2 linked regions of the Yarrowia lipolytica genome follow. The protein of the gene in region 1 interacts with the protein of each later gene in a biochemical or structural test. Links are inferred from orthologs where the notes say so. Each region holds a gene or a part of one and is shown in the gene's direction. Other genes may lie near its edges.

What was found.
Region 2: the proteins of YALI1_B21323g (region 1) and YALI1_B05438g form a complex in vitro, tested with the Saccharomyces cerevisiae proteins (2 studies listed by BioGRID). The link is inferred for Yarrowia lipolytica from reciprocal best matches to the Saccharomyces cerevisiae genes VPS4 and IST1.

The regions. Positions count from the first base shown.
Region 1 is NC_090771.1:2,131,053-2,134,398, forward strand, and holds YALI1_B21323g (uncharacterized protein), read left to right. Parts: upstream 1-1,262; coding exon 1,263-2,549; downstream 2,550-3,346. Other genes in the region: YALI1_B21313g (uncharacterized protein), read right to left, coding at 1-269; YALI1_B21356g (uncharacterized protein), read right to left, coding at 2,730-3,346. UniProt on the Saccharomyces cerevisiae protein: Involved in the transport of biosynthetic membrane proteins from the prevacuolar/endosomal compartment to the vacuole. Required for multivesicular body (MVB) protein sorting.
Region 2 is NC_090771.1:542,246-545,308, reverse strand, and holds YALI1_B05438g (uncharacterized protein), read left to right. Parts: upstream 1-1,344; coding exon 1,345-1,365; intron 1,366-1,423; coding exon 1,424-2,275; downstream 2,276-3,063. Other genes in the region: YALI1_B05420g (uncharacterized protein), read right to left, coding at 2,485-3,063. UniProt on the Saccharomyces cerevisiae protein: Involved in a late step in sorting of cargo proteins of the multivesicular body (MVB) for incorporation into intralumenal vesicles. The lumenal sequestrated membrane proteins are targeted into the vacuole after fusion of the endosome with the vacuole.

The DNA.
Region 1 (3,346 bases):
TCACTCACAGGTGTCTCTCGACGAGTCCACTCTGCTCGAGGGGTTCCTCGGGCTCCATGAGCACTTCCATACCGAGTAGGGGAGCCGAAACGGGTCGGAGATTCGGCTCGAGGAGTGCCATAGGGAGATCCATAGGCGCCTTGTCGTTCAGGAGATCGAGTAGGGGAGCCAGGGTTGGAGAAGGGGTTGGCATCAATGTGGAGCGACTGACGCTGGCTGACAAACGCCGGCGACGGTGGCTCGGGCAGGTCTCGAGGCTTGTTCGACATTTGAGAGTCGAATTGGTTGTTACCGGTAGCTAGTGCGCTCTGTACAAAGAGGCGATATTTCTCTTATGTACCAACATGTCGGTGGTGCTGGGTCTACATGGTGCTGGTGTACTGTATAGTGCGAGGTGACTGTTTGTTTATACGCAACCTTGTTTTGGCAAGCACGGTTGGCCAGGCAACGGCGCTCCCAATAATTTTAGGGGTTATGCAAGATCTCTTATTGTTTGTCGCATAATAACACCACACTCCAAATATAGCATCGCAATGCAAGGCGAAATGACTACTGGAGTGGTACGTACTGGTACTTATTGAACAGTTGAATACAGTATGTACCAATATATTTACACGGACAAGTGACCGTAAGAGTCGGGGTCGCGTTTAATGAAATCCTTTCTTTTGTATACAGTATGAAGAAGTACAGTATTTGCTCCGCATCCCAATTGACTCTACTGTAATGGCCTAAATCCTGTCGAAACGTGAGATATTATCTTGGTTGTGCGTACGGTAGGCAACTTGTGAGATGTTTTGGTTCCCGAGGCGAGGCAACGTGCTTGTTTGAACAAGCTACGAGCATAAACTGCACCGGTTAAAGCTTGCTAGCAACTTGTGGCTTATTCAGCACGCCGACTACGCAAAAAATATTGGCATTGCCATCACCCAGAATCGAACTGAGGTTTCCACGGCCACAACGTGGTGTACTAACCACTATACTATGATGGCGGACTTTTATTAATTTGGAATCCGTGATAACTGCTATCCAAAGAATGAAAAAAATTGCCGCCGAAAGCGTTTAACACGTCCTAATGTGTTTATATGATTTCCAGCTATTGGATTTTATACATAACAACCCGGTTAGTTACGTTTACTCCCTTTACGACGTACCTTATCGCCACACCTCAGCCTTCCCACCTAGATTTTCAAACTCAAACTTGAGGTCCATCCACCACCTACAGCACTTATCGAGAGGTATTAACCCAACAACCACCCACACAAATGGCTACCGTGGACTTTTTATCCAAGGCGCTAGAAATTGTGCGCAAGGCGATCGAGGCCGACAACGCAAGCAAGTACGAGGAGGCACACGAATTGTATGTCAACGGACTGGACTACTTCATCAAGGCAATCAAGTACGAGAAGAACCCCAAGTCCAAGGAGCTGCTGCGACAGCGAATCACAGAGTATTTTTCTCGGGCAGAGCAGCTGAAGGAACATCTCGACAAGCAAAAAAGCAAGCCTGCAGCCCAAGCGGCAAAACAGGGAGGAGGAGCCAACGGCGGGGCCGGATCTGGAGACGACGACAATGATACCAAGAAGCTGCGAGGAGCTTTGGCTGGAGCCATCCTTAATGAAAAGCCCAACGTTAAATGGGAAGATATTGCTGGTCTGGAGGCAGCCAAGCAAGCTCTAAAGGAGGCAGTCATCTTGCCCGTCAAATTCCCTTATCTCTTCACTGGCAAGCGAAAGCCCTTGTCTGGTATTCTGCTGTATGGACCCCCCGGTACCGGAAAGTCGTACCTGGCCAAGGCAGTGGCGACCGAAGCCAACTCCACCTTCTTTTCCGTTTCATCCTCCGACCTTGTGTCCAAGTGGATGGGTGAATCTGAACGACTGGTGAAGCAATTGTTTGCCATGGCCCGAGAGAACAAGCCCAGTATCATTTTCATCGATGAGGTCGACGCTCTGTGTGGACCTCGAGGAGAGGGAGAGAGTGAGGCGTCACGACGAATCAAAACAGAGCTGCTGGTCCAGATGAATGGAGTGGGTAACGACGCTAGTGGCGTTCTCGTTCTGGGTGCCACCAACATTCCCTGGCAGCTGGATGCCGCTATTCGACGACGTTTTGAGCGACGAATCTATATTGCCCTACCCGATGCCGAGGCCAGAGCCCGTATGTTTGAGATAAACGTCGGGAACACCCCTTGTGCACTGACTCAGAAGGATTTCCGAACTCTGGCTGAGATGACCGACGGATACTCGGGTCATGATGTGGCAGTGTCTGTCCGAGACGCCCTGATGCAACCAATCCGAAAAATCCAGGAAGCAACGCATTTCAAACCTGTGGAGATCGACGGCGTGACTAAGTATACCCCCTGTTCTCCTGGAGACCCCCAGGCAACCGAGCTCAACTGGATGGAACTGGAGGACGGAACAGTTCTGGAGCCCGAGCTGACTCTCAAGGACTTCATCAAGGCTGTAAAGTCCACTCGACCAACCGTCAACAACGACGACATTACTCGTCATGAAGACTTCACCAACGATTTTGGCCAGGAGGGTAATTAGCATCGGAGCAGCGAATAACTAACGTTTGTCACGCATATATTAAGTAGATAGTTAATGAGATGATATGACCAGATTGTGTTAGTGCGACTTGTAATCTACTACTTGTAGTACGTGGAGACTCAATTCATTATTAATGCTGCATTACTTTATGTTCTATAGACATGTCTATTCCTTGCCAGGCTATAACTCCTCCCTCAAAGAAGGCTCGATTCTGGTACAAATGTCGACGAATCGTTCAAGGTACTGTTCTCGAGTCTTTCGACCCGTCCAGAACATGCACCACTCGCTACCGGGGATCTTGAAACTGCCCTTCGACCGGTCAAAGTACCACTTGTTCACGGGGTTGTTCTTTCGAGATCGCCACAGCAGCTCGTTGGGGAACTGAGACATGACCATACCCTTGAAAACCACATCTGCTACCGACGAAGAGCCCTGGGACCGTTTCAGAACGGCAAACTTATCAAGATACGCCACTTGGTTGGGGTTAAGAGGCACGGCATCTCCCAGTTTCTGATACAGAGGCGGCGAAGGAAGGGGGATACCTGCTGCATAGGCCGCAGCTGCCTCGGCAGCTGCTCGATCGGCAGCATCTCGATCCTCCTGGGCCTTGACTGGGTCAATGTCTTCCCATGTGATGATAGCTGCTCCCTCGTAGTCTCCAGCAATGATGATACCTGCGATTTTGCCGTTGACTCGGTTGAGATAATGCTGTTTGTCGATTCGTCGTCCAAAGGAGTCTTCAATCAGATGCCACAGACGGTCCAGATCAATGTTGCCTTTCTCGTGCTCAGTGATGA
Region 2 (3,063 bases), about 1.6 Mb from region 1:
GTGCCATGATGTGGTCGAGGGGCGAGGCAGGGACTCTGGTGGGTTAGGTGAGCAGAACAGGAGGAGATCCTCGTGGGCACTTTGCACCGGTCCTTTATGTGTGTATGTGTATATACGTGCTTTGTCAGCGTCGGGACTCTTGACTAAGCTGGTTCCAACCCTTGATTAGGTTACCATGATCAAGGTTGAAAGATCTAAGATTGGAGATGGATGAGAACGAGTATGAGGACGAGTATGAGGACGAGTATGAGGACGAGTACAAGTAGGAGAGACAGATGGAGGGCGGATCTGACGGGAGAAACTGATTGTCACGCCTGAAATCACTTGGTTTTCGTCATTTCGAACTGTCCGAGCCCCGATCTAGTGGTGGCAGACCCTTTCATGCCCTGTCTGACATGCTGAGTCGGGTCTGTCGGTCATACGAGACAGTACAGTTGTCTACGTCAGTACGAGTACAAACGAGTGCTGATCGTGAATTGATGTAGTTTCTTCGTGCAATTAATGCAATTATTGTAGTTGCCTCGAGTACTGGTACTGTATTACTGTGTATGTACTGTTGTTGGGGACGTGGTAGCTTGGACAAGCATGCTTCTTCTCAGATCTGACAGTATAGTAACTGGATTGAGATTGATTGGCTATTTTTCTCAAGTGTCGACATTCTGAACATTGATAAGAAGTCGCTGTTCCATTCCATTCACCATAAAACTGCCATTGAGCTGCCGAGACATGTGAATACCTCATAACCACCGCCCTTCTACCGCCCTAGTATCGTACATACTCGTACACGGTACAAGGCTGTGGTAAGACTCGTGAACTCATATCACTGGTACACACTCCTCGGCTGCTTGAGGGTCAATGGTGTTTCATTTAGTCGGCCTGATGATCTCGACATGGACAATCCGTACATCGCTTGTTCTCTTTCAATTCAGTCTCCCCATTCCCACGGGCTAACTTCATGCAAACTCCAGTTAGTTGAACCCTCCAAGTAATAACCCAATACTAGACGACTTTCTTGATATAACCAAGTAATAACCCATCGTTAGACGGCTTTCTTGGTAGAACCAAGTGTTGACTCCACCCCTAGACTTTCTTGGCAGGCAAATGTCAAATAGCCGCTCTCCCGGAAAGTAAATCCCACACAAAACAACCGCTCAGGCGGTTTGAACGGTCGGCTCCTTCGCCACACTTGTTCGTCTACGCCACCCGACACTCCATCCATCGCCCCACCCAAAAATTAGATTCGAGGCCACCTCCCATCTGCATCACCATCGCCACTACCATACATACATCTCCACACCCCGGTTATCTTATCAACGACTTGCGACACTAACAACTACAACCAAGATGGCAACAGCATCCGTTCAGGTGAGCAGTATCTGAGGCGCACGTGACCACCCACCGCGTAAGCAGCTGACTAACACAGACCCGACTCAAGGTGCAATTGAAAATGGCGGTGAACCGTCTGCGACTAGTGCAACAGAAGGAGACGGCACTAGCTAAAGCCCAACGACGAGAAATGGCAGGGTTATTGGAAGCAGGCAAGGAGGCCAGTGCCCGGATCCGCGTGGAAAACATCATTCGAAACGACATCAGCGTCGAGCTGCTGGAGATTCTCGAATTGTACTGTGAACTGCTGCTGGCTCGAATCGGACTGCTGGACGCCAAGGAATGCGATCCTGGCCTGGAGGAGGCCGTGTGCACCGTCATCTATGCGGCTCCCCGTACGGAAATCAAAGAATTGCATACTATCAGAGACATTTTCGTCACCAAGTTTGGCCGCGACTTTGCGAAGGAGGCCCTGGAGAACCCCGACGTGAAAATCCCCGAAAAGGTCATGACCAAGCTGAGCGTACAGCCCCCCAGCGCCGAGCTCATCACCCTGTATCTCAGAGAGATAGCCCGCGCCTACAATGCTCCATTCAGTGAACTGTACACCAAGGAGGAGCTTGAGGAGATGGAACGACAGGAGAATGGTGGGGATGACGACGACGATGATGACGAACCCTCCAGCGGACTCAAGGAAAAGCTCCCTGAGGAACCTCTGCCCGCAACATCAGGTAATGAGGCTGTTCGTCGTTTGTCCGAGTCCCTGGAGCCTCCCAAGTCGCCCATCGCCATCTCGCCTCCTGCCCCCAGATCATCTAACCCCAAGCCCGAGCTCAAGCTGCCGTTTCAGAAGGACTCTCCCACCCGACCGCGTCCCAGACCCGCTGTTAAGAAGGATGATGAGTTTGACGCTCTTCAGAAGAGACTGGACGCCCTGAGAACGAAATAGTTGTACGATGGAAAGTGCGTTCGCATGATACATTGTGCATTGGTAATGAAATGTTATGGATTACGAATGTCTAGCTGTAGTAAACCGCTACGGTTATAAGCTGGACAAGGCTGAGGGCTCGGTTATTAGCCCTCTCATCTCGAAACCACCTATTCACTATAAACACTACCAATATATATAATGCCGCTGCTGGAAGGAGTCCGGCACGTCTAAACGCACTGGAAACCAAAGCCACAAACAGAGCCAATCGCTACGTAGACAAGACCCGCCACTCCAGTGCCCAACAGAGCGCCCATTTTGACGTTCTTCCACCACAAGTTTCTCTTGGCCTGGGTGCTTCGTTTGCGGAACGCCACGGCGTTGTTAGTCATTTCGTCGGTTCGGTTCACCAGCAACGATATTCGTTCTCCTCGCTCCAGAATCTGCTCCACGTTCTCCACCATGATATCTCTGACCTTGTTGATCTCCGACTGGGCCACCTTGGCCACGTCTTCGTATTTGCCCGAGTTGACAAGCGTCACCATTTCGCCCTCGAACTTGTTGAGGCTATCCTTGGAGGCGCTTCCGATTGTCTGCAAGCTGTACTGCTGGTTGAACTTCTTCTCCAGCTCCAGCAGACACAGGAAGGGGGCCTTTCGGCCGCACGACTCCTTGGTGATGAGGATAAACGTCACGCCCTCGGGCGTATCGGAAGTCGCCTGTGTGGTTATGTAGTGGATCGACAGATCCTGGTACATTAGAGAGGCCTTCTTGGACTCTCCAGGGGAGATTTTCGCCAGCACCAGCTG